Stegostoma tigrinum: one gene and its partners. The protein of the gene in region 3 purifies or fractionates together with the protein of the main gene of each other region. This does not show direct contact. Links are inferred from orthologs where the notes say so. Each region holds a gene or a part of one and is shown on either strand. Other genes may lie near its edges. The genes, in order: ech1, eci2, mapk6 and neurl4.

What was found.
Region 1: the proteins of mapk6 (region 3) and ech1 purify together in Homo sapiens (affinity purification with mass spectrometry; 3 studies listed by BioGRID and IntAct, with this or other methods). This does not show direct contact. The link is inferred for Stegostoma tigrinum from reciprocal best matches to the Homo sapiens genes MAPK6 and ECH1.
Region 2: the proteins of mapk6 (region 3) and eci2 purify together in Homo sapiens (affinity purification with mass spectrometry; 3 studies listed by BioGRID and IntAct, with this or other methods). This does not show direct contact. The link is inferred for Stegostoma tigrinum from reciprocal best matches to the Homo sapiens genes MAPK6 and ECI2.
Region 4: the proteins of mapk6 (region 3) and neurl4 purify together in Homo sapiens (affinity purification with mass spectrometry; 6 studies listed by BioGRID and IntAct, counting the BioPlex papers as one, with this or other methods). This does not show direct contact. The link is inferred for Stegostoma tigrinum from reciprocal best matches to the Homo sapiens genes MAPK6 and NEURL4.

What each region holds. Positions count from the first base shown.
Region 1 is NC_081392.1:7,501,274-7,508,389, forward strand, and holds the start of ech1 (delta(3,5)-Delta(2,4)-dienoyl-CoA isomerase, mitochondrial), read right to left. Parts: upstream 3,018-7,116; 5' UTR 2,932-3,017; coding exon 2,895-2,931; exon of another isoform or gene 2,891-2,894; intron 2,865-2,890; exon of another isoform or gene 2,062-2,864; coding exon of another isoform or gene 2,037-2,061; intron 1-2,036. UniProt on the Homo sapiens protein: Isomerization of 3-trans,5-cis-dienoyl-CoA to 2-trans,4-trans-dienoyl-CoA.
Region 2 is NC_081355.1:11,868,836-11,875,915, reverse strand, and holds the start of eci2 (enoyl-CoA delta isomerase 2, mitochondrial), read right to left. Parts: upstream 3,023-7,080; 5' UTR 2,782-3,022; coding exon 2,726-2,781; intron 1-2,725. Other genes in the region: cdyl (chromodomain Y-like protein), read left to right, coding at 3,391-3,414. UniProt on the Homo sapiens protein: Able to isomerize both 3-cis and 3-trans double bonds into the 2-trans form in a range of enoyl-CoA species. Has a preference for 3-trans substrates.
Region 3 is NC_081386.1:20,395,720-20,402,608, forward strand, and holds the start of mapk6 (mitogen-activated protein kinase 6), read right to left. Parts: upstream 3,028-6,889; 5' UTR 2,906-3,027; intron 1-2,905. UniProt on the Homo sapiens protein: Atypical MAPK protein. Phosphorylates microtubule-associated protein 2 (MAP2) and MAPKAPK5.
Region 4 is NC_081398.1:13,795,746-13,802,749, forward strand, and holds the start of neurl4 (neuralized-like protein 4), read left to right. Parts: upstream 1-4,001; 5' UTR 4,002-4,143; coding exon 4,144-4,308; intron 4,309-7,004. Other genes in the region: gps2 (G protein pathway suppressor 2), read right to left, coding at 2,888-2,981. UniProt on the Homo sapiens protein: Promotes CCP110 ubiquitination and proteasome-dependent degradation. By counteracting accumulation of CP110, maintains normal centriolar homeostasis and preventing formation of ectopic microtubular organizing centers.

The DNA of each region.
Region 1 (7,116 bases), on a different chromosome or scaffold from region 3:
GCACAGTACAGGCCCTTTGGCCCTCGATGTTGTGCCGACCTGTCATACCGATCTCAAGCCCATCTAACCTACACTATTCCATGTACGTCCATATGCTTGTCCAATGACAACTTAAATGTACCTAAAGTTGGCGAATCTACTACTGTTGCAGGCAAAGCCTTCCATTCCCTTACTACTCTCTGAGAAAAGAAACTACATCTGACATTTGTCCTATATCTTTCACCCCTCAATTTAAAGCTACGCCCCCTCATGCTCGCTGTCACCACCCTATCCATCCTATCTAACCCTCTGATTATTTTATATGTTTCAATTAAGTCACCTCTCAACCTTCTTCTCTCTAATGAAAACAGCCTCAAGTCCCTCAGCCTTTCCTCATAAGACCTTCCCTCCATACCAGGCAACATCCTAGTAAATCTCCTCTGCACCCTTTCCAAAGCTTCCACATCCTTCTTATAATGTGGTGACCAGAACTGTACACAATACTCCAAGTGCGGCCGCACCAGAGTTTTGTACAGCTTCACCATAACCTCTTGGTTCCGGAACTCGATCCCTCTATTAATAAAAGCTAAAACACTGTATGCCTTCTTAACAGCCCTGTCAACCTGGGTGGCAACTTTCAAGGATCTGTGTACATGGACACCGAGATCTCTCTGCTCACCTACACTACTAAGAATCTTACCATTAGCCCAGTACTTTGCCTTCCGGTTACACCTACCAAAGTGCATCACCTCACACTTGTCTGCATTAAACTCCATTTGCCACCTCTCAGCCCAGCTCTGCAGCTTATCTATGTCTCTCTGCAACCTACAGCATCCTTCGTCACTGTCCACAACTCCACCTACCTTAGTGTCATCTGCAAATTTACTAACCCATCCTTCTCATCCAGGTCATTTATAAAAATGACAAACAGCAGTGGACCCAACACCGACCCTTGCAGTACACCACTAGTAACTGGTCTCCAGGATGAACATTTCCCATCAACTACCACCCTCTGTCTTCTTTCAGCAAGCCAATTTCCCATCCAAACTGCTATATCTCCCACAATTCCATTCCTCCGCATTTTGTACAATAGCCTATTGTGGGGAACCTTATCGACAGCCTTCCTGAAATCCATATACACCACATCAACCGGTTTACTCTCATCTACCTGTTTGGTCACCTTCTCAAAGAACTCAATAAGGTTTGTGAGGCACGACCTTCCCTTCACAAATCTGTGCTGACTATAAATATTTGACATTAAGCAAAAAAAAATTTATTTAAAGCCTATAGTTAAAATACAAACAAAATGAAGAACTTATAATAACGTAGCTCTATTGGATGACTTAACCAAATAACAGATGCGTAACTATTATTAACTCACTGTTCCGATATGTAACACCCCACAAACACAACCATTGGTGAAAGGGGAAATTCAGAAATATATTCTCACAATCCAGGAGGAAAGAAACATCAAGAGAAAATTCAAAGCAGCCAGGAGACATTTACTGAAGCTTCCAACTCAATTGAGACCCCAACAGTTTCTGATGCTATTGAGAAACCAAAACCCAGAAATCCTGATCTGAGAGAGCTGGCTGCATACGTTCAATGATAATGGGAACTGCAGATTCTGGAGAATCCATGATAATAAAACGTGAGGCTGGATGAACACAGCAGGCCCAGCAGCATCTCAGGAGCATAAAAGCTGACGTTTCGGGCCTAAACCCTTCATCAGAGAGCTGATGAAGGGTCTAGGCCCGAAACGTCAGCTTTTATGCTCCTGAGATGCTGCTGGGCCTGTTGTGTTCATCCAGCCTCACATTTTATTATCTTGCATACATTCAAGCTGTTTTTTAAAACAAAATCCAAGGTCTCCCAAGTTGTTTACTCAAGCAGCCTTCACTAACCACTTCAGAGCCTCTCATTCAATCTCTCTCTTAAAAGAAACCAGGACAAAATAACATCTTAAAGCCACAGCATCATCACACCTTCTTGAATCACTGTAGTCTATGTGTGGCGTAGGGACACTGATCGAAGCAACTTCTAGAATTTTGACTCACTGATGCTGAAGGAACAGCAACACATTTCCAAGTCTTACAGGTGACACTTCCAGGTGGTAAAGGATGTAGGTTTGGAAGGTGCAGTCATTGCAGTCTGGGAGAGTTGCTGCAGCGTATTCCGGAAGAAATGCACGCTGCTGCTACTAAGTGTCAGTACTGGAGGGATTTGGAACGTGGTGCCAGGCTCTGTCCTGGACGGTGTCGAGCTCCTTGAGTGTTGTTGAAGCTGCAGCCATCTAGGCAAGTGTGGGGTATTCCATTACTCATGGAATTTGACTCGACTTATGCCTTGTGGATGGTGGGTTCTGCTAATTATTGTCCAGGCCATGAATGCTGAGGGAGATTGAGATTCTCTTGTTACTAGGAAAGTTGCAGGTCAAGACTTTCAGCCTTAGCCAACTGCCAGGCTCTTCCAGGCAGCAGTAAACTTCCTCTCACACCCTCCCACAGTGTACTCTCCTTTTCTTTAAAAATCCCAGATCATTAACAAAAACCCCAATGTTTTTATCTGCCCCGCACTGTACAGTAGTTAACTGTCTCACGGTATGGAGTGCCCAGGTTCGACTCCGGCCTCGGGCGACAGCGGGCAGTTTGCACATGCCTGGGTGGTCAGCTCTTTGGAGGGTCGGTACAGACTCGGTGGGCCGAATGGCCTCCTTCCGCCCGATTGAACCCCCAAACCAGGGATAGTGCCCCACTCGCACGGACTTTATTTGGTTCCGAAGGCTTCCTGGCGCCTCCGCAAAACTAAAGTCCGCTTCACCCTGGGAGGCGCTGAACCGGCGGCTTAACCGCACACGAACCAGACGTGTCCCCCAGATACCGCCCTCCGGCCACAAAAGCCCCGGACTCACTCACAACCGCTCCGCAATCCCGCAAACAGCAGGCCAGCCATCAGCCCCCCGCAACAGCAATCTGCGACCGTGACATACAGCGCCGCCCACGGCCCGGCAGAGTCACTGCGGTACAGCGCCACCCACGGCCCGGCAGTCACTGCGGTACAGCGCCACCCACGGCCCGGCAGTCACTGCGGTACAGCGCCACCCACGGCCCGGCAGAGTCACTGCGGTACAGCGCCACCCACGGCCCGGCAGTCACTGCGGTACTGGGTACAGCGCCGCCCACGGCCCGGCAGAGTCACTGCGGTACAGGCTACAGCACCACCCACAGCATGGCATAGTCGCTGTTGTAGTACAGCATATAGCGCCACCGACAGCCCAGCATAGTCGCTGCACCATAAAACCACACAACATGTCCAATAGAAACGAGGTAGAGAAGAATAGAGGTAACGTGTATCCTCGAGCCTGAGGATGGTAATATTGACAGAAAATGGATAATTACAACTTAGGGTTGGGGGGAAGGGGTTAAAAAGTGATCATCAAAATTGATTGAAAGCTTGGAAGTAGAAATGAGATTCTGTTCCTCCATTTAGTTATGAGCTTCATTGGAACATACTGCAGCAATGACAGCAAGATGGTGTTGAAAAGGGCGAGCAATTGGAAGGGCAGGATCATTCTTAGATAAGGTGCACTGCTAAACAGTCACCAAGCCTGCATTTGGTTGCGCCAATGTAAAAGAGACCACATGTAAATAGGCAACAGTAGACTAGATTGAAATTTAAAGCACTGATTCAGCTGGAAGGTGTTTGGGCCTTGAACAATGAGATGGGAAGACGCAATTGCAAGAGGCAGTGTAGGGTCAGAAGGGAGAGAATGGAGATGAGGAAGTGTTAGAAGTGATGGCGGGGAAGAGAAAAATCCCTACAACGTGGACATAGGCCATTCAGCCCACCAAGTCCACGTAGACGCTACCCCTACCATCGCTGTGTAACCCTGCATTTCGCATAGCTAATCCACCTAGCCAGCAATGTCTGCAGTGTGCAGAAAAATTAACATGAAAAACCCATCTAACCTTCACATCTTTGCACCATGAGAGGAAACCCACTAAGAAACAGGGATGGTGTGTAAACTGCATACAGTTGCCCAACAGTGGAAGTGAACTTCTGGTACTGTGAGGCAGCAGTGCTTACAAGCCCAGCCTTGGACCTCAGACAGATGCAAATGAGTCGAGGAGAGTGACTTGACACAGTCAAGCTGACTGTGGGAGTTAGTAGGTTTGTAATGGATTTAAGGGCACAGCATATCCCCAGAAATGCAAACAGTAGTCAAGGAAGGGGCAAGGATGGACTAAATGAAGTTAAATATGGATACTGAAAACTAACATTTATTTTACCAATTCGGGACAAACTCAGGAAGCAGCAATAATGCAGTTATTGCCATACTAATGAAGAGTTGAGAAAATATGCCGAGTACACATGTTCTACATACCCTACGAGAGAGGCAGGTATAACTGGGACCCATAGCCACTCCATTCAATTGGAGACAGAGTTAAGGAAGAAATAGTTACTCAATGGGAGTATGTATTTTTCACTGCCCTGATTAAGTGAGGAGACTTGAAAATGAAAAATGGTATCAAAATAAAAGAATAATGCAACATTGAATGGAAGTAAAATCAAAGTGAGGAAAATTTTTTATTAAAATTCAAAGGCTGAAGTGTCAGGAAGACAGCTAGCTACAAAATCTTAAAAGTAAAAAAGTACAATGAGAAAAGTTATGCCACTGTTTGTGCACAGAAAGCAGCGGAGGCCAAAATACTGAGTGTTTAAGGAGGCAGATACAGTTCGCAGAGCTAAAGGGAATCAATGGCACGGGGGAAAGAAAAAGCAGAAACAAGGTATGGAGTTGGAAGATCAGCCAAGATTGTATTTATGTGTCAAAGCAATGCAAAAGTAGTGTGTGAAAGAAATGCAAGACTGAAAAAGCCCAAAATGTTTAACAAGTAGAACAATTAAGTAAAAGATTCAATGACCTAAAAGTGCCAGAGAAACAGGTAAATAACTGCACTGCAAGTGTCTTAAACTGAATAAACTTCTAGCCCTAGGCAGCACCTGATGTAATATGGTAGAGGCAGCTTTAATGTAAGATACAATGGAGTCCAAAAAAAAGGTCTTGGTAAAACAACAAGGCACTCATCAGATCAACCTAGAACATACAGTCAACAGCTTTAGGACCCTCATCCAAGAAAGCATATCGTGGCGTTGGAGGCAATCTAGGAGGTTCACAAGCTTGTTCTCAGGTACAGCAGGGATTATCTTATGAGGTGTTGTGGATTTCAGGCCTGCACTCATCGAAATATACAAGATTCCTAGGGGAGTTGACAGGGTAGATGTGGGAGAGTCTAGAACTAGAAGGCATACCATGGTAAGGGATTACCCAGTTAGGGCAAAAATGAGTATTTCATCTCAAAGGGTAGTAAACCTATGGAATTCTTCAGAGCAGAGAGGGGGGAGGCCAGGTCAATAAGTATATTTGAGGCAGAGGGATTTTTAAACCAGCAAGGGAAGTGTATTAGGGAAAATGGAGGAAAAGGATGGTCAAGGATTATCAGATCAGCCATGATCTTGTTGAACAGTGGAGCAGATTCAAATGAACTGAAATGGACTTCTGTTGTATCTTATGGTCTTCAAAACTCCACCCTCACCAGCCAGAAATCACAATACGGGAGCTAGCCTACAGCTACAACTCAAAGGGCTGTCCAAGTTCAGTATGTTCAAGGCTCATCTAATATTTAGATATGCAGGCAATCGAGAAAGATGGAAGGTGAAAGACAAAAAGGTAGAATTGAAGTTTAAAATCTGCTGTGATTGTACTGAAGGACAGATTCGCTCCCAAGGGACAAACGGTCCAACGCTGCTTCTATTCTGTGGAAGAGGAAAGTTAATATTTCAGGTCAATGGGACTTTTGGCAGAATGAGAAAATACTAGGAACATCTTTAAGTATAGAAGCAGAGAGTGTTGGTGTGAAGTAACAAAGGGAAGATCTGAGAGAAGGTGGAAGATGAAATTAAAGTGACAAAAGGAATGAATTGTTGCACATTAGACAAAATGTGGAGAGGGTGTGAGTGTGCAAACAGAACTATTAACACTATTAAAAGAACATTTTGAACTAGTTACACACACTGCAGAACTCACTTTAGTCCACATATTCGTTGGGTGATTACTTAAAAGCAAAGTGCTGTCCCTTGAATTTATGGATAACTTTCATTAGCACTTTCAGACTAAAGGACAGAGGTCAGAGAGAGAGATTGATAATTGAAACAGTATGCCTGGAAGCTCAGGGTTCTGCTTGTAAGCACAAATTCTATGCAAAATGATCACCTGATTTGAACCAAGTGGTACTACAGTGCAATGATTTCAGAATATCAAACTGAAAGTAAATACACAGTCAACTTGAATGAGGCCACAAAAAGGACAGGTGACATCACCTGTGTTTTCATGGGACAGTACCAAGAGTGGTTCCATAGAGAACTGAATCAAAATGCCATGCACAAAACTGACCTTTCAGGTTTTCAGGATGAGTGAAGTTAAGGCACTTAGGATTTAATTTAGTTAAACAATTACCTTGTGTTGTAACCATGCTGATTTTTTTTCCAAAATAAACCAAGTGGCCACAAGGTTGTGCCACAGTACCTAATTGGCCACCGAGAAGTCAGAGTAGAGTAATGTTGTTGGTCGACATTAAATGGCAGAGACCACGTCTGTTAATTTTTTTTTTGGGGCTGAAAAATTACATCCCCACTTGACCATTATGTGCAGCCTGACAAATCATTACTAGATGGTGACCAATAGTCACTGGGAGGTTTGCTTTTATTTAACCGAAAGTCACTGCCCGTTAACAAAAAGCAAGACTCCCAGTTAGACATACTGCTTGCCTGACTTGTCACCTTGGAGGTTTCATGGAGCCTCTCAAATCAAGGTGTTGCACTGACATAGTCAACATTATTTAAAATCATATCACACTGGTTCAGACAATCGAAGGTGGTGAATTTACCACTGGCTAAATAGTTGATCATTAAACTGCAAATACCAAATTGATCAATTGTAGACATGAATGCAACTTGGAGGGTGTGACATGGTTACCACTACTAAGACTTGGCTGTATGTGGATAAGGCTGTAAGATTAACAAGATGGGGAAGCATGGAGCAGCTTTAAGAAATAAAAATCACAACCATTGAGTGGA
Region 2 (7,080 bases), on a different chromosome or scaffold from region 3:
ATGGATTGTCTCAGTAACTGTGGAAGTATTGTTGTAGCCAATGGGGTACTGGAAGAAGTGTGCTCTCCTCTAGCCTTGTTCATAACACTCAAGTGGCAGTTTGCAGCTGGATACCCAACAAAGACATTATTAATACAATACTTCAATTACAATAACAGGATAAAAGGAAATACACCAGGTTTCTTGTGCATATCTATAAAAATAACTTGAAGTTGCCAAGACCTTTCTAGGTGGGGAAAGTTTGCATCAAATGACTGGCAAAGAAAAATCAAGATTAGGCTAATTGGCTGAGAAGTTTGAAGTAAAGTTAAAAGCAGATATGAAGAAAGCTAACAAAATTGAGACAACAGCACAAGTTTTTATTTTATGTTGTGGCCTTTGGAGTAGTTGGACAAGAGTGACATTGTCTGCTTCTGGTTTTGGTAATAATATACATTTTTATTCAATAAAGTCTTGAAATTATTGAATAAAACTGAAATCCGACCTGAATCCAAATACTGGTGTTGGCATCACATCTTGCAATTCTAGTCCTTAGAAATTAGGAACAGGTGCAGGCCATTCATTACATCAAGCCTGCTCACCATTCATTCGTGTTATTAATCAGAAATGATTGTAATGTCTTTACTACCAGCATCCCCAAAACCCTGTATGCCATCGGTAATTAGAAATACATTGAAATCTATCTTAAATCTATTTTACTCAAAGACTGAGCTGCCTCACCCTCTGTGGTAGAGAACTCAAAATTTAAAAAGGACATATTAGCAAGCCATACAAAGATATGTAATTAAGGGAATACAGCTACACATCAGGGATATGTGATGTAAGGTGGTACCAATATTTTCCTTGCTGACAGAATAATTTAGATTTTGAAATAACAGGCCAAGTCACAATTTTAACATGGTAATTAGCTCTCAATCTACGAATCCTACAGTTTTTAAGTTCTCTGGTAATGGATTATATTTGCAAGGTGTCATAATTGCCATCCTTAGGTTGTCCTGTAGTGGTGACAGGTCTTCACTTAAGTCCTGCAGTCTTTGTGACAATGCTACTCCAATAATGATGCTGAATCAGGACAGCACCTTAACCACCATAAATGTATTTTTCTAAAAGCAGCTTAATGATTAACAATTTGGCTCTGTATCATCTTCAGTAAAGGTATTATTCCAGTACACAGACAAATCTTTGAAAGTTGCAAATGACTGCACTTCACAACTTCAACAGCACAGAATATTATACCGATTACAGTCAAGAAATGTACACTGTGCTCTCATCTATATCATCCTGAGGGTTCTTTGTTTATTTCCAAGGCCACTTGACCCATCAAATAGAACCCTCTTTGGTTAACATCCAAATGTTTCTGGAGTATGACGAGTTGCTTCAGCCCAGTACTACAGGGACAAGATTGTTTCTTCTTGGCAAGATGGTTGTGAATAGTAATAAATGAGATCTTAAAAATTATTCAGACAGACAATGAGAAAAAAATTCTTTTACACAGATGCTAGAATGTGAATGACCTCTCATAAGTTTTTCTGTAGAGTGTGCACATTCTTTGAAAAGAAAGTTAGTTAGTTGCTTATATAGAGGAATACTAAAAGTTAATAGATATGAAGAAAAACAGCAAAACAGATTTGATGGGTTAACTTGACTTTCTGCTCTGTAAAATGATGTGACATGACTGTACAGTCAGTACCTTTTTGGTTTATAAAGACTGGCCAGAATTGGTTACAGGAGAGCAAAATAATTCTTTTCAGAATTTGAACTTTTGCATTAAATGTTGAAGAAAAGTGAAGCACTTGGCTTTGAAGAGGATATTAAGTTTCTTGGTTTCAACTCTTTAGTAATTTAAAAATTCTATGTGCATTAGAAATTTTTCACATTCCAAAGCCAGGCTAGACCCACAGCACACAGCATCTGCAAGAACTGTGTGTGTGTGTGTGTGTGTGTGTGTGTGTGTGTGTGTGTGTGTGTCGGTGGGGGGGGGGGGGGGGAGGGGGAGGGAGTGAAACCGGCAATATTTAAAGTCATGATTTGATGACAGAGTTTGGGTTGCAGGGGTAATGACATTATAGGAAGAAAGCATGATCACGAGGAGTAATAATTTGCACAATTTTCTAGAATTCTACTGAACTTTGGACTGTCACATTATGTGGCCAACTTCAGAGAGAAATTCTACAAGACAAACGAGGAACAGTGGACTGATGCATGTCTTCAAGTATCATCCATAGCTAGGAAACAATTTAAAAGTGTTACGATGCCAGATTGAGAGTTAATTACCCTGTAATCTCAACACATTCTTCAATGTATGTGGAGGGTAAAGATCTCTGTTCAGAGCCTAAGACCACACTTAGCCAAACGTTGGCTAAATAACGTCCTTCACTTTTTGCTGCATTCAGTTGTAGAATTGGACTATAGACCTGTGCATTCGAAAATGAACAATGTAAAGATCAATTCTGCGAACACAGGGATCGTGGCTTTTGATTAAGGATCACTCAACTGTTGACAGGCCAGTTTGAAGATTTTTGCATCAACCTCAAATGATATTGAAAAAGCTTCAACTTGAGACAATATGAAACTGAGGCCCGAGTCACTGCAATAATTCAACTTGTCTAGTCAACTCAAACTGTTGATTTCAGAAGAGCTAGACGTTATGTTGACAGTAGTCAAAGCTGAGCAGCGGCGTAAAAACTGGACCGGTGCCCAGCTCGCATCGGACGAACAACCTCACCTGAGCGTCTTCGTCAACTGCCACCGAGCCGGCAAGGTGAAGAATGCAGCAGCCATCCAAAACAGTTCCCCCAACACTGGGCCGTAGTGTCAAACATGCGTTGTCCGACCACTTGGACTTTTGCCCTCGCTACGCCCCCTTTCCGTTCAGCCGAACTTGACGGATCATCCAAAACCCGCCCTCTCGCTGCCGCTTGTCGCCGCGCGCTCGCGCCCGCCAAGTCGCCAACGTCAAAGAGCTCTCGGGGCACGCGCCGGCTCCAAAGCGGTGGCGGCCCAGGTCCGGACGGAGCTCTCTGACGTCACAACGCCCCGCCTGAGTCCCCATGTAGCAAATTAGGTTGATCTTTTTCTAATGACAGATCTTTCATAGAGCTCGCTCTTTAACCGTTTCGCTAGCTCGCCCGCTCGCACACCCCCAAGCACGACGAGTACGAGCACGCTCGCGAGGGAGTGCGCGACAGAGAGGGAGGAAAGAAAGTACAACTTCCGCTCTCCCTCATGGACCAGCGCGAGCTCCCTGCTGCGCAGAGCGAGTTGCGCACTGGCAGTTCTCCCCCTTCTCTCTCCTCCCTCCCGGAGTTAAAAGGAGGCCAGGCATCCAGACCACAGGGGGTTGGAAAGTGATTCTTTCTTACTTGATTCGAGCTATTTGGCAGTACGATTATGGCATCGGAGGAACTATATGAGGTATGGGGAGAGGGGGAAAAAATAGGTGTGATTTAAGGGGTTTCCGACTCTTACTTACTCATCAACCTCTTTAACCCCTTTCAACCTTTTCCTAACATCCCCACTTCTTCTCTGCCGCTTCCTCCTTTGAACCCGGAGTGATATGGCGATCCGAGTCCCCAGCTTTTGCTGGAGTGAGTATACCCGGTATGTGGGTGCGCACGCGTCCGGACGTGGAGGAGGGAAGGAGGGAGAAATGGTTGAGGAGGGGAGGGAGGGAGGTAGGTAGGGGTGGAAGTGGGTTGAAGACAGAGTTGTTTGAAATCACCTTTTGAAGGGAGACTTGACTTTTGGTCTACACAGTGTTGGTGATTGGCCTCCCCAGCCGTGTTATGTATAAGGCACTAGACTATGTGGCTAAGTGTAAGAGAGACGGGTTCTAACTATTTACTGCTGGCTTATGCTCTCACAACTAGTGCCGTCCTCAGCTATGTCGCAACGCACTGTAAACGAAGACAAGGATCCCAAAACTCGGGCTTCACCTTTTTTCCGTTTGAAGGGTAGAGGCTTTTTTTTTTATTTAAACGGTGACTTTATGTACTTCTCAACCACTCCAGGCTTACATTGGATGAAGTAGGTATTTGTTGATTGCAATTTGTTTTATCTCTTATGGGTGATTGGTTGTCTTTACAGATTCCATCAACGTTCCATAAACTAGGAGCAAGGTCTTTCTTCGGGTTTTTTTCTGTAATATAGTTCAAGTGGGTGTTTTTGGGGCTTAAGAGTTCAATGAGTAATGTATTGTACAAGCTACACTTGTTGAGATGGCTGTCCTTGTCTAGTTTACAACGTAGATCAGTCCAGGTTCATCTCGTCTTTTTTGGGGGGGGTTTGTATCTTTCAGACTTCCATGTCTACTTTTTTCTCTCCCTTCCCTGTTTGCATATTTCTCTATGGTATGAGAGAACTTGCCAATCAAGTAATGTGCAGGTCAAGACCTAAGTTTGAAAATTATTTAGAGTGATAAGTTCTTGTGAGGAAAGAGTTCAGCCCCTACATTTTAGAAGCTCTCTAGATCTTCAGATGTTTGACAAGTAGTCCTTGATCAGATTTTTATTTGTCAGTGAGCCTAGGAAAAATAGCAATAAGCTCAAGCCAGGATAACAACTGAGCTTTATATGCATTTGAGGGTGCATTTGGAGGGGGGAAGGAGTCTTTTTTTTTCAAAAAAAAACTATATTTATCCTCATTGTGAGTAGGATCTGTAAGATATTGAAAGCTTTGGTGGATGTAGTGTATTGTATAGTAATTTTGGCAGTTGAAACGTTGTCTGATGTTCCAGTCTGTGTTTTGATGACAGTTGGCTGAGGTTTGGAGGGGAGCTTCAGTATGACTGAAAGCTAGAATTTCAAACACTCTAGCAAATAAACTTCATTACTATGAGGATAGTTTGGAAACACCTGCATAGGTGGTTATTTTACTGTACCTAACTGATATTTTTTACATAAAGAATGACAGAAGTAAATGGAGCAAGAGCTTGGATTGATTGAATAATCAATTCATGACTTGACATAACTACTTCACTGGCAGTGATCTGATTTTTGTTTCTCTCGCAAGAAAAGTTGTGATTATTGGCCAATTTTGATGCTTCACACTTCTGTGTTCAAAACTTAATTGTTTGGATTTTGAACTGTTAAGGAAATTATTTTTGAAATTGTAAGTATGCAATACAATAACCTTTTTTTAAGGTTGGGAGCATTTTAGTTTAATAATGACTTTTTCTTCTAACTTTCACAAGTTTCAAGAACAGAAGGAACAATGGATTACTTTCTTGCATTTTTTTTGTCAAACTTAAGTATGAGCTTCCAATGTGAATAGTTTTCAAATGGCCGATATATGTTTATCAGAAGTTCATTTTGATTGTTCCAGAAATGTTGCAAAAAGCTCTTTTTATTGGACCAATCTTAGTCAATTACCTTTTATCTTTGGAGTTCTTGCAATGTTAAAATGTTTTACAGTTTTTTGGTGTATCCCTTCAAAATGGTCAGTGACTATACTGATAAGTTGCAGAATAACTTCTAACTGTAATTGGATCAAATTGTTTGTTTGTTTTTTGGTAAACACACTAATAATCTGGCACTGGTAGTAATTCATTCATTTTAGTGGCAAATACATTGATAATGAACAAAAGTCCTGGGTAAATACTGGCTGAAGAGACAAAATTACCAAATGCAGAATTCAACGTTGCCAATGTTATCTCTGTAAAGTTGAACCGTTAAGTCCACCAGGGTTATTAATACTGTTTGAGATGTGCATCATTAAAATTCAGATTTTTTTTTTAAAATCCCCCTGCTGCCTCCAAGACACATTTGTTGGATTTTTGCTTGGGTTCCAAAGAGCTTTTGTTAACATACAATTAAAATAGTTTATTCACAATATTTTGTGTATTCATGTGTCATTTTTCAGTTAATATATTGCCAGGATATATTGAATTAATCTGATTTCGAATCCTCTGATTTTTATGTACTCAATCAATTGTAGAGTTTGGATGGCTTTGTTAGTCAGTTTCAGCAGTAATCAGTGCAGTATAGTGCAAAAATTTTTCTTGTTGGGTTGCATCAAGTTCTTTGGAAATCATTTCATAATTGATTCCATCGTTGTGCAACTGAAAGGTACGTGCAGGTGGTGATATTTGGGTTCAGTTCAGATGCATTGTTTTGCTCTCAATATAAATGCAATTTGAGTGCCATCCTTCTGTTGAGTTTCGCAAAATTGTTAATCTTGTAATGAAGTTGTACTTTTGTTTTTCTCCAGTGTGATGACTATAGTCTAAATTCACTGGGCTGTAACATTGGTTGTACTCAATTACATTAGTAATACCAAAAAAAAGACCACCTTAAACTTGTAATCATAATTATCCACACGTCTTCCACAGCTTGATAATTATGCAACCCAAAAAGCAAGTAATGGAGGAGAGATTTCACTGCAATTTCCCATCATGATGAAGCAATGCTTAGTACTGATAAGGACTTGAAATTTTGTTTGTATTCCCATACAGTATTTATTTGTTCTGTAAATCTTGAGTGCTAGGCTTATGCCAATTATAGTTGTTTCCATTTCCATTTTAGTCTGTTTTGAATCTTGCACAAAATAGTAACATTTTTCCAAATGTAAATGACAAATTTCTTTTCCAAGGAACTATGCATATGTTAGGGTATGGTGGCTATGACACAGGACAGTGACCTGGAAGTGATGAATTGAAATTCTATTCCCAGCAAGTTTTGAGAAATTGAATTGAATAAATCAGAAATTGTGAGCTACTGGCAGAGGATAAGATGTCAACTGCTGAGTCTTGAAAATCCAGTGGTTCACCTCATGACTTTCAGGAAATAGCAGTAGCCATCCCATCCTCACGTGGTAGTCTACTGTATCACTTTAAAAAGACTATCCTGTGGTTATGCGATTGTGGCTGTTCAGGAATAATATCCTTTTCTTTAATTTTAAGAAGAATTGTATATTTTTCAGATGGGTCTGTAGTGGCATTGTTCATTCAAGAACAAGATATAATATATAGTTTGAATAATTTTACGTGATCATCTGCTTTTCCAGGCATCAGCAAATTCCTACATCTAGGAGATGATGATGCTTTATCACATTAAGTTAGGTTTTAATTTTTGTATTATTTTA
Region 3 (6,889 bases):
GTGGGAGCAGCATAGTAATTTCCTGGGTTTGGATCTGCTCTCAGGCCACTTAATCTAGAATAAGTTAGTTGCAGAGCACATTTCTTTCAAACACAGTTCAGTTGAAATTCTGTGCATTGGCTAAAAGTGTTTAAAAATCCTTGATAATAGAAGAAATCTATTAACAGAGAGTTGGATCTCAGGTGATAACCATGCTGAGAAGAGAGAGAGAGAGAAAGAGAGAGAGAGAGAGAGAGAGAGAGAGAGAGAGTTCCCGGGTGCATGGATTCAGAGTTAAAGAACTTTAGCTTCTGGAAAGTTCCTATCATCAGTGACTCCGGTTAAGATGTTAGCGAAGAAAAGGTTGGACTCCACAACCATGGGAACAATTGAAAGAAATTTGAAGGGTCAACTTTGCTCAAAGTAATTAGAAGACCCAAAAAATCACAACCCTTATATAAAACTTTGAAATAGTACTCAGACCAACTGATTATTGTTCCAACTTATGATAAGTATTCAACTTGAGCCTTTTGGAGTGATTGTCAAATGGCACAGATATTAAGAATTTTAGTTCAGAGTGCAGGTGACTGTGTTCATTGTACTTTTAATATTTTCAGTATAACTGACTGTTTGAGATAAAGTAATTATTAATATTCAAGTTCTTTGATTTGTGTAGAGTAAAGTACCTTAGTTCTAAACAGTAAATCATGTGGCTCCATTCTTTTGGTAAATAACTGGGTTTCCGGATCTCCCGAAACAAATTATCCAAATGTCCGATTATGAATTGCATATGTTGAATATTCTTGAAGTTATGTGTAGATTTACATTTTTGCTGGGACATTGTGTAGGCATAAATAAATATTTTAATGGAATTCATTGGAGCAAATAGACAGATTTGAAGTACCTCACTGTACAAAAGGAAAGGCGTCAGTCTTGGGACACCAGGCATCTCATCCAACTGTGCTTTAAGTTAGACCTTAAAAGATTTATATTTGTAGGAAGTAAATGGGAAGAAATAGCATATTGATGAGAGCCTAAAAACATCTCCTTAATCTGAAAATATGTTTTGCACTTATGCACAAGGTGACTGTTGCTCCAGACTCCAAAAAGCATTGAATTTAGTGAAATATTCACCATGTAAACTCAACACCTTTCCTGTTGCTGATATTCAAGTTATGATATGTCTACACAAGCCATATGCTTCACCATTTTGGTGAGATGGATTAAGTTATATACATGTCCCAATTAAAAGTGTCTGTGGCTATCCTTTTCATTTGCATTCATTTCTTTCTACCAGTTGTCTTCATGTCTCTGCTTGAATGCAAGTGCTATGTCAACACAAACAGCATAAGTAAAGCATTCACACAATATTCATTTTGCATTGACTAACATTCACAACAATGGGAAGAAGTAGAAAGATTAATCTCCAATGCTGTATATTTTAGCCATTGTGTAAAATTGAACCTATCTTGCTCATCGTAAAATAAATAATTGTTTTTGAAAATCTCTACAGAGGTCACAGGAACCGACATGAACACTGACCAAGTTAGAATTGGAGGAGAGGGGGCAGGTTCTTTCCTTGGAAGCAATAAGAACTGAAAATATTAGTTGTTCGTCTCAATACCTATGACTGTTGGAGATAGAACAATTAAATCACCCTCTTTGTGCTCTCCCTTCACATTGGCAACCCATTACATGGGCCTGTGCACTTCCTCTGATAACAAAGTGTGAAGCTGGATGAACACAGCAGGCCAAGCAGCATCTAGGGAGCACAAAAGCTGACATTTCAGGCCTAGACCCTTCATCAGAGAGGGGGATGGGGAGAGGGTTCTGAAATAAATAGGGAGAGAGGAGGAGGCGGACCAAAGATGGATAGAGGAGAAGATAGGTGGAGAGGAGAGTATAGGTGGGGAGGTGGGGAGGGGATAGGTCAGTCCGGGGAGGACGGACAGGTCAAGGAGGCGGGATGGAGTTAGTAGGTGGGAAATGGAGGCGCGGCTTGAGGTGGGAAGAGGGGATAGGTGAGAGAAAGAACAGGTTAGGGAGGTGGGGATGAGCTGGGCCGGTTTTGGGATGCAGTGGGGGAGGGGATGTCTGGGAAAGAGAACAGGCTTAGTAAACCAAGATTCCCATTCCTAACTGGTATCCAATGAATATTGCTGGAAGCAGTCAGAGTTGGAACTTAGACATGAATAAGGCTAAGTGTGATGAAGTTTGTGCTTTTTAGTGCGTCTGCCCTCGCTGTTATGTTCACAACTGAGTTATGGGCATCTGAATGAGAAGTCAGGAGAGAGAGAGATATTTTTGGAGAAAAACAGAAAGATAATGAGGAAGAGAGAACTAAAAGACTTTCCTTTTCCTACTTTCTAAAAAAAACTGCACCATTCTTTAGTTTAAAATTATGAAAAGCATTCACTGAAGGTAAGTCCAGGGACACAGACAAGGACTGAGATATTCAGGTTCCCTGTGATCCTGTGAGGTAAATTATGGAAGATAGCTTGACATAAAAAAATCAAGCATGAAATGTAATTTTCATCCTTGTTACCTGATCTTCACAGGGACATATATACCAGCTTAGTGCTGGTCTGACTATGAACAGTGGCGAAAATGATACTGATCAACACACTATCTCTCCTTCTTTGAAACCAAAATCTTTTTGATGAAGTGACCATATCTAAAAATGCACAATTTATCTTTCATCACATAAAGTGTAAGAGAATAGTTTTGAGTTCACTGGAGAGTTGCCTTTGAAACCTAATGTGGGTTGGAGTTCATGGAACCCTTAGTACAATGACAACAAGAAACACAGGATGTATGACATGTGTAGTTCGTAACATTTATGAACAATGAAAAGCCTTTCGGATATCATTCTGAAGAGGAACGTCCAATTCAAAATTTCATGATTAAAAGACATAAAACAACTTACTTTGCTGTGAAAGCTCCAGGCAGACCGACACTCTGCACCGTTGAACCAGAAGGCCACATAAATGCTGTAGCCTGTGATTACAAATTCCCCAGTTGCTGGGAGCTTCACTTTGGTAATTACAGAGCGATTGTACCAAGTTCACAATATCAGCCCCTATCAAAGAAAGCGAGTCTAAAGTCAGTGTGTAAATGCACCACTGGAACAATTATAAAGGTTAATGCATATTAAAGAACCTTTTAGCGAAACACAAGTTAATAATTAAAGGTTATAAGTGAATGGAGATGCAAAGGGTAATATATTGGGAGTAGTTCTATACTGTATTTTTTTCAACACCCTGAAATATGGCAGCTCTAAAATCCACGAGCACTGTGCTCAGATTGAGAAGCATTTCCGTTGTTCACTGACTCAATCGTGCAATTAAAAGCTTGTACTGGGCTCCTCTGCTGGCTCATTCCAACCAAAGTATTAACATTGGCCTGATTCATGAACACAGAGGAGAAGATCAGGAAGGGCAGCTATGGTGCCTAAACCATGTTGCTATTCAGAAAGCTCAGCTGTAAATACTGTGTGTGCATGTGGGCGAAGGACAGCTATGAGCTTCGTTGTGATGCCCACAGTCAAACATCTTGATGGTGTTTCTAATATATTGAGGTTAATGCTGTCAAGAAAGAAGTGAGGAGGAAATTCAAAAGAAACAAAGTGGAGGAATGCTGTTGAATAAATCTGTGCTGAGTGCCAGAAAAATGATGAGATAAAAAGTTTACAAAGCACTGCCCAATTCCCTATATATTGAGGATGTTGTCCCAACATTTTAGCTACTGAAATGCTCCCCCATCAACACAGCATCAAAACGCGCCAGTGGACTATGCAAGTTTGCTCTCACAAATCTTCTAACGTGCAATTGGATAGTTTGACAGCATAAAGGCTTTCAGTTTCAGAATCAATCCCAAATATGCCTGTGTCAGAATACACGGAAACAATAATGGAGAACTCCAGCGCCTGCTTGATGTGCACTGAGTAATCATTACATTGTTGTAGCCAGCAGGATTATGCTTTTGGAATTTGCAGATATATAGATTGTTACTTCCTGCACCCAACCCTGAGACAATCCCCACGCACTTTGAGTCCGTGTAAGGTATGACAGTAACAGGGGTTTATCTTAACTTGACATCAATTGATCTTCTGTGGAAATATTTTCCTCAGACTCATGTTGACGCATAGACCAGTTTTGCCAAGTGACCTGTTTCTGTGTAGAGATAGTAGGAACTGCAGATGCTGGAGAACCTGAGATAACATGGTCTAGAGCTGGATGAACACAGCAGGCATCAGAGGAGCAGGAATGCTGATGTTTCGGGTCGAGACCCTTCACTGCTTCTGTGTATGCTGAATTCTATGGGCCAACAGTGCTATTTTATGAGGAATGGTGTTAAGAGGTTATTGCAAAGCAAGAAGGTGGCAACCTTCATCTCTGTCTGTGTGTACCTTAGTGCAGGAATTGCACAACTTGCTAATTCAGGCCATTCAGTAGATGAGCACCACTTGGGGCATTAGAGGAGAATGTTTTTCTGATGGCTCAGAAATCACTGAACTCGGTAAATGCCTGCTATCCTTGTACATTTATTTTATTTGGGAAAGATCACCTTGCCTGAGGGTACTTCAAGACTAGAGCACGTGAAATTTTTAAGGTTAGAGGAGAGAGATTTAAAAACATCACGAGGGGCAAATTATTTCTGCAGAGGGTAGTTAGCGCGTGGACTGAATGCCCTGAGGATGTGGTGGATGTGGGTACAAGTATGTTTGAAAGACATTTGGATAAGTGCATGAATAGGAAAGGAATGGAGGTGTATGCAGGAGCAGGCAGGTGGGACTAGTTTAGTTTGGGATTATGTTCAGCATGGGCTATCATAGAAACCCCACCATGTGAAAACAGGGCCTTTGGCCCAGCAAGTTAACACCAACCCTCAGAGGATCCCACCCACACCCATCCCCCTAATCTACACATCCCTGAACACTACAGGCAATTTAGCATGGCCAATCCACCTAGCCTGCACATCTTTGGGCTGTGGGACGAAACAAAGTACCTAGAGGAAACCCACACAGGCACAAGGAGAATGTGCAAACTCCAGATAGACAGTCACCCAAAGGTGGAATCAAACCCGGGTCGCTGGCACTGTGAATCAGCAGTGCTAACCACTGAGCCACTGTGCTGCTCCTAGTTGGGTGAAGGGTCTGTTTCCATGCTGTATGACTCTATGACTTGATCTAATGATTTCTGTCAGCACCATCCCTCTTTGAGACAAAAGAGTGAACTACAATGAGGCACATAACTAAAGGGTCCAAATAACATAATCTGATCCAAATTGACAGGTGCATTTGAGGAGCAGTCAACCCTGTACAGGTCTAGTCATGTAGACAGAAGCTTTATTTGTTCCTGAAATGCATGCAACTCCAATGAATCTGTACCCTGTTCCTCACCATGTTTAGTACTAACATCAATTATTTGGCTCAAGTTGAGAACAGCTATTGTTAACCGGTAATAGATGAAAGTTATGTCTAGAAGCTTTGTCTTGCACAGAATGGACTGTAATAATAATTCAAACATTGTTTTCCAACACACTTCATTCTTTTGATCTTATTTAGTTTTGTCTTCAGAATGTGGATGGTCCTGGTTTTATTCTTCTGTTCAAATATTTCTTTGACTTCATGGCCACAGCAGCTGCCCAGATGTACAATGTTCTTGGCTTATGAATCGAAGATTAGCAATCTTTAAAACAAAAAACAATTCTTTTAAAGATGATGACTTACTGAAAATAAAGAGAATCAAAAGCTGCATCATCAGTTTGTCTTTGATAGAAATCCATCTCCACCCTGCCTGCTGTTCACCACACTTCACAAGGTAAACTGTTTTGTTCTCTACATAATTGGTAATTCCACACCAGGAGGTGCTGACAGAAGGTGTATATCTGTGGGTGAGAAGGTGTGACCAATTTTTCTTCCCACTCTGGTAGCACACTGTGTGGTGCATCGAGACAACAAGTAAAGAGTTGTAAATGCTCAATCACTGACAATATTGAAGGTTGAGAAAAAAAGATTCTCCAACACTAGGAAAATCAAGAGATGAATCTTATGGCTGTAAAGTTGAATGGAGATCCAAAATTAATCACAAATACACTGAATAGTGGAGCAGACTTCAGGGTCCATCTAGTTGACTCCTTCTCCTATTTTATTTCAAGTTATTTTGTTCTTGATGTCATTTTTCACACTATCGTGGATCTCACATAGGATGAGTGCTTGTTTCACAATGCTTGATATTGGGTTTTGTTCAAAAGCAGTTTGAACTACATCAAAGTGAAATATTCAAAGGAAGGGATTGGATGCGCTAACACTAGCAGTATCCTATTACCAGTGAGATTCTAGAGCACACATTCTGTGTTCACATGACTGGTTTGTTTCCCTAACATGGAGGCTGAAGTGTGCAGGCAGTCTATATAGTTGGTGGAGGATCTCTCTCTGGATATTGCAAACTATACATCTCTTCAGTTATGTAGAGAACCTTCTCACATACAACATTCTGTTTGAATCATTTGTTTAAGTAATAGCGCTACTGAATCAAGATATTTCAAAGTCTTGTATTGCGGAAGGCATTCATTACAACTTAGGACATTTGACCATAAAATATAGGAGATATAGTCTATTCAGCCCATTGAGCCCATTCAATGAGATCATGGTTGATATAATAATCTTCAACTCCACTTTCCTTGATTCTCTTACTGATTAAAAAGCTGCCTGTCAATCTAGCCTCTACAGCTCTCTGCAGTAAAGAATTCCTCAGATTCACCATTCTCTGAGAGTCAAAGTTTCTCCTATCCTAACTGGGTATTAGCACTGCTGCTTCACAGCACCAGGAAACCCGGGTTCATTTCCACCCTCGGGCAACTGCCTGTGTGGAGTTTGCACGTTCTCCCCGGGTCTGCATAGGTTTCC
Region 4 (7,004 bases), on a different chromosome or scaffold from region 3:
CCAGTGATCTCTTTCCATCAAGGTTGACACACTGAAAGAATCAAAAGGCAGAGTATTCATAGAATCCCTACAGTGTGGAAGTAGACCATTCAGCCCATCGGGTCCACACCAACCCTCCAAGAGCACCCAGACCCTCGTTCCTATCCCTACAGACCTGCATTTCCCATGGCTAATCCACTCAGCACATCCGTGGACACTGTGGGAAATTTAGCATTGTCAATACACTAAACCTGCACATCTTTGGACTGTGGGAGGAAACCGGAACACCCAGAGGAAACGCGTACTGAAAAGGGTAGAATGCACAAACTCAGTACAGACAGTCACCCAAGGGTGGAAGCAAACCCAGGTCCCTGCTGCTGTGAAGACAGCAGTACTAGTCAACGAGCCACCATGCCGTGCTGCTCAACAGAAAATAACTTTAGAACTCTGGATAGGTAGCTATATCTTGGTATTTTAGTCCAGAAGTCACAAGACTTTAGTATCTAGGTACAACATGTAACCGATAAAGCTAATGGAATGCTATGCTTTATTACCAGGGAAATTCAATATAAAAGTTTGAATGTTATGCTTCTGTTAAACAGGGCATAGGTGAGACCACATCTCAAATACTACATTCAGTTTTGGTCTCCTTATTTAAGGAAGGATTAAATGCATTGGAGACTGTTCAGTGGAGATTTACTCTTGAGAGCTGGACCAAGTTGTTTTACGAGGATTGGTTAGATGGGCCAGTCTTGCTTCCACTGGAGTTTAGCAGAGTGAGGAGTGACTTGATTGAAAGATATAAGATACTAAATGGTTTTGACAAAGAGAACATGGAAAAGATGTCTCCTCTTGTGATTAGGGGCCACTGTTTTAGGACTGTTTTACACTTAAAGAAAAGTAAGTTCATATTTGACAGTCAACATGACTTTGCCAATAGCAGGTCATGTCTGACAAATTTAATTGAGTTCCTTAACAAGGTGATCCAGGCAGCAGATGAAGGCAGTGCTGTGGATGTTGTATATTTGGACATTAGAAAGTATTCGATATGGTGCCACATGCCAGGATGGTTAGCAAATTAGAAATGTTTGGTATTGATGGAATCTTGCAGCATGGATTAGAATTTAGCTAAAAGGTAGGAGCAAGAGGGTAAAGTGGGCATATTGCAGATTGGAGACAAGTTGAAAGTGATGTATCTCAGGCATCAGTGTTGGGACCCTTGCCTTTTCTGATTTAAAAGAACAATTTGGAGATAGGTGTTGAGGGAAAAATCTCTAAATTTGCACATGATACTAACTGAGGTAGAATAGTGAATTAGAGGATGACATTGAGCGGCTTCGCAGAGATATTGGCAAGTTTTCCAAATATGCAATACCTGAATTTCAATGCAGAGTAATGCAAGATAGTGCACTTTGACAGAGGAGACAGGGTGAGACAGTATGGGCTCAAAGGTACAACTTTGAAGGGAATACAGGAGCAGCGGGACCTCGGGGTTCACATGTATAATTCTCTGAAGATGGCCAGACAAGTTGGAGCAGTTGTTACTAAGGCTTATAGGAGTCTTGACTTTATAAAAAGAAGTATAGCATAGAAAAGGAAGGAACTGATGCTACACCTCTACAAATCATTGATCAGACCAAATTAAGAGGACTGTGCTTAGTCCTGGCACTTTATTTAAGGAAGGACATTAAAGGTCTGGAAAGAGTGCAAAGGAGATTTGCTAGAATGATACCAGGAATTAGGAATTTTAGATACAAGATAAGATTAGAGAAATCTGGCTTATGCTACATGGAGCAGAGAAGATTAAGATATGACCTTATTGAAGTGTTAAAATTTATGAATAATTTTGACAGAATAAAGAAGCATATTCTGTTTCCACTGGTTGGTATGTCAGTAACAACAATTTCAAAATTGTCAGCAAGGTGGCTTGGAGTGAGATGAGGAGAAAATCTTTATTCAGTGTTGTTAGGATTTAGAATGAGCTGCCTGGAAGAGTGGTGGAGGTGGAGATGGAGAGCTCTGGAGAATGAAACTAGCTGGGTAGATCTCTCAGGGATGGATAGACCAACTAGTGGGGGACATAGGTGGAGCTAGAGAGTTATGAAGCTTGGCAAAGCAGGTGGAGCAACACGCAGAATGGGAGTGGATAGGAGGAACAGACAGAACAATGGCAAGGTCAACAGGCAGAGGGAGGGCACCGGCAAGGCAGAGGGGGAGGGCACCAGAAAAGAGTGAGAGTTATCCAGTTTATGCCTTAACTGACTTATGGGTAGCATAGGATTGAAGATTCCCTGGATTGATTAATAGGCTGTGGGCAAGGTCCTGCGAGGAATGATTGAGTGAGTTGCACCCACATTCTTTGCAGATGATCTCAACCTGATCCCTTGGATACTGAAATTATTCTACGTGTATAATTTGAACAGACAGATCCAATATATTTGAGTTTAGAAGAATGAGCAGAGATCTAATTAAAATGGATAAAATTCTTCGAGAAGGAAGAATGCTCCCCAGCCAGGGGAGAAACACAAAAACATGGAGAAAGAGTCTTTGAATAATTAGTCGTCATCTCCCAGATTGGCATAAAGGTCGATATGAGCCAAATGGCTTCCCCTGTGTTCCTTTGTCCAACGGTCTCGAGCACTTTTGTCCCAGAGGCCTGCAAAATTCTTGTGCACTCCCCTTCTGGAAAGCCCAGTTGGATCTGCTTAAGCTGCCCTTTCAGGCATCTACCAGATCATAACAATAACAACACAGCATTCTGATATAACAACAGCACATATCCCAGGGAGCCAGTGACAGCATGACACATGCAGATTTTTCTGTTGAGCATTTTGCCAGATTGTCCCGCCCTGATCTACCTGCCAGACATTGTGTGAGCACACTCACACTTCCTTCCCAGCACTTCTACCTTGTCGTTTCCGTGCTCTCTCCTTCATGATGTGCTGGTGAAGAGCTCGCGCCATCGCGCTCGACATCTTGGGTCGTTCCAGTAGGGCGGGCATCGTCTCTGTTTCAGAAGGATCCAGACACTAGAACCTAAAACAGGTGAGAAAAAGCCATAAATCAGCTTTGTGTGAGGTACAGAATCGCAAGAGTAAATCTGGAAAACCTACAGTCACCACACTGTTTCCCAAGACCACCCGGTGTAGCACAGCTAACTAGAACTCCTAAAAGTTCCCCTCTGAAACACTTGACTTGGACCTACAGTGCTGTTTCCTCACAGCAACTGGGTCACACTTCCCACTTTCCCTTAACAGCACTGTCCCTATACTTCAGGGACTGCAGCAGTTTAAGGTGGCGTCTCACCACCACGGCAAATAGGGATGACCAGTAAATGCTGGCTCGGCTAGTGAAGCCCACACTTTACACAGAACGTACCACAAACAAATAACTCCGGATCAACCAGTCAATACCATTCTGTTTCGCTTGAAACCCAGAATGAGCCACAGCCAGAGCCATACTGGATTAGACCCCAGGAGGACAAGAGGCCAGGCTTCCCACAGATTGCATTCTCTTTCAAAACACGCTGGCTACACATAGGGTGCTGTGCTCTCCCCAAATCTCCCTGTTCTTCCCGGATTCTCAAGAACTGTGCCCCATTCCCTCCACTCTCATCGGTATGTCCTCCCTTCTCCATTTCCCTCTCACTGTTCTACCCAACCACTTCCACAAACACCCCTCCCACCTACCCTTCTCCTCTCTCCACGGGTCTTTTCCTTGATCTCCCCCACATCCCGCAGCTCCAGGTCCCCATCACCCTCACCCTGTTCTTCCCCTCACCATTCCCTGTTTCCAGGCCCCGGGCCGCTTTCCTCCTTTTCTCTCTCTCTTCTCTCTCTTTTCACTCCACCAACGCCATCACACTCCGCCCGCCCACCGTCAGATCCGCCCCGCAGCCGTAAAGCGAGACGGACGCTGAGAAGCGGGCGACGGCCTTGGCGCGCGACGGGATCGTAAAGCGGAGCCGCCGGTTTCCAGCGCGGAGGGGCGGTCAAATCAAACGGCGCTGCCGTCGTAAAGCGGATTTCGATACAGCTGCCCCGCAGCCGTCAAGCGGGTTAGTCTCCCCGGCCCTGTTACTCCTTTAGGACCCGGTTGAGAAGGCTGTCGTGGAGCAGGAGCGGGCTGAGGAGGGGGCGGTAAGCCCCTCTCTCCGCTCTCGGAATGGCGGCCGAGTTCCACCTGAGGACCGGCAAGTTGGTGGCGTTGCTGAACGGCAACCGCACGGCCAAGCGTAACAAGCCGACCGAGGAGTTCAACCACGGGCTGGCGATGAGCCGAGAGCCGCTGGGGGACGGGCAGCTCTTCCAGGTCCGGATCGACAGGAAGGTGAGTCCAGGGGGAGATGTAGATGTTTGTAACTCCACCCCCACCCTCACCCCCACCCCCACCCTCACCCTCACCCCCACCCTCACCCCCACCCCCACCCCCACCCCCACCCCCACCCTCACCCTCACCCCCACCCCCACCCTCACCCCCACCCCCACCCTCACCCCCACCCCCACCCCCACCCCCACCCCCACCCTCACCCTCACCCTCACCCCCACCCTCACCCTCACCCCCACCCTCATACCCAGGGGTAAGCTCAGTAAGAAACACCGGTGATTGAGGCCTACACCAGAAGGTGCACGGGAAGGGGAATCTCAGCAGGTAAAAAGGGGGAACACACCCCCCCCCCCAGCTTTAACATCGCTATAGCAGGTTTTGTGATTTTATTTTCTTAAATCATATTTAATCATAATTGCGACACCCCCCCCAAAAAAAAACATCGTGGATATCGCTAGAGGATTAAATGTAATGAGTGGAACTTGGTCCAGCAGAAAAAAGCTGGAGCTTGTCCCAATTTGCAGCAGAGAGGACCCTAAGCACCCCCTCTTCCCCCCCCCCCCCCCGGGCTGGTATTTGTCTGTCGGCTCGACGTGGCTTGTCAAGTAGCCCCCTGCCGTCCCCAGTTTTAAAAATTCAAAATCCCTCTCTGGTCATTTTGTAAAGGTTCCTCCCCAGCATGCCCTTGGACACCATCTCGAGGGTTCCCCCCCAGCCCCCAAGTGAAGGCAGCCCAATGTGATGGACAGTGCCAACTCCTGGCAAGGGCCAGGTGCAGAGGCGCCAGGGAATGGAACATTGGTAGAAGGTCCCGGAAGGGCGCAAAAGACTGGGCAGTGCTAGTGTAGAGAAGGAAACCAAGGTGATGCTTTGGTTCACTGGCCTGGTGCCACAGCTTTGTCAGTGGGACTGCACCATCTGGTTTCGAGGGCCCTTGTGTGCTCCATGTGATGGTTTGCACCAGATGTCAGCCATCAAATACTCTCAGAACAGGTACAGCACAGGGTTAGTTACAGGGTACTTGACTGTGTCTCCACTAAGCCCTCCCAAGACAAGGGTGACGTATGATTAGATACAAAGTGTTGCCTCTATGTTCTTCCAATCCAACACTCCCAGGGGAGGAACAGCACATGATTTCTCTAGTCTTTCAGACTGAAAATAAATAGAAAGTAAAGCTTGCTCAACATTGACCCTAACAAACATGTCTAGGATGGGGGCATCACAGGGTTACATAATGAGTGAGGCTGTCTGTACACTGTCCACATCAAACATTCCCAGCACAGGGCTAGATACAGAATATACTTCTACACTTTTAAACTGAAAGTAAAGCCCCCTCAACAACGTCTGCTTAAAACACCACAAGAAGAGATAAAGCAGGCGTTTTGGTGCAGAGTAAAGATCACAGTGGTTCAGTGGTTAGCACTGCTGTCTTCACAGTGCCAGGGACCTGGGTTCACTTTCACCTTCAGGCAACCTTGTGTATAGAATTTGCACATTCTCCCCATGTCTGCTTGAGTTTCCTCCCACAAAAATGAGCAGATTACGTGGATTGGCCATGCTAAATTGGACATAATGTCCAGAGACGTGCAGGCTAGGTGGATTAGACATGGGAAATGCAGGGTTAAGGCAGGAGGGTGGGTCTAGATGGGATGGTCTTCAGAGGGCCGCTGTTGGTGTGACAGGCCAAATGGCCTGCTTCCATGCTGTAGGGATTCTATGGTAAACTGAAATCAGAGCATCCTCTACGGTTTTAAAACTGAAACTAACACTTCCTCTACACTTAAAACTGAAAGGCACCTCCATCTGTGTCAAACGCTCCCGGGGCAGGAACAACAGAGGGTTAAGTACAGAGTAAAGCCATCTCCACTCTTTGAACTAAAAGTAAACTTTAAGTAATGGTCCACTGATGCCATCCCCATCAAACACTCTGGAACTGTGGCAGCACAGGGTTAAATGCAGAATAAACTCCTTCATTTTCAGTTATGAGTGGTGTACCACAAGGATCTGTTCTGGGTCCCCTTCTGTTTTTGACTTTTGTAAATGAACTGGGTGTAGGAGTGGAAGAGTGAATTAGTAAGTTTGCAGACGACATGAAGGTGGGTCAAATTGTAGATAGAACAGCCCTCCGCACTATGTTACAAAGGCACATTGATAGGATGCAGAGCTGAGCTGAGAAGTGGCAGATGGAGTTTAGCCCTGAAAAGTGTGAAATGGTTTATTTTGGAAGGACAAACTTGAAAATGGAACACAGGGTTAACGGAAAGATTCTTGGCAGCGTGGAGGAGCAGAGGGATCGTGGGGTTCATGTCCACGGTTCCATGAAAGCTGCCACCCAAGTGGATAGAGTTGTTAAGAAGGCATATGGTGTGTTAGCTTTCATTAATAGGGATTGAGTTCAAGAGCAGTGAAGTTATGCTCCAGTTATACAAAAACCTGGTTTGGCCACGTCTAGAATATTGTGTCCATTTCTGGTCACCTCATTACAGGAAAGATGTGGAAGCGTTGGAAAAGGTGCAGAGGAGATTTGCCAGGATGTTGCCTGGAATGGAGGGAAGGTCTTATGAGGAAAGGTTGAGAGAGCTAGGGCCTTTCTGTTTTTAGAACAACGAAGGATGAGAGGTGACTTGATAGAGGTGTACAAAATGATGAGAGGTATAGATAGTGTGGACAGCCTGAAACATTTTCCTCGGGTGGAGGTA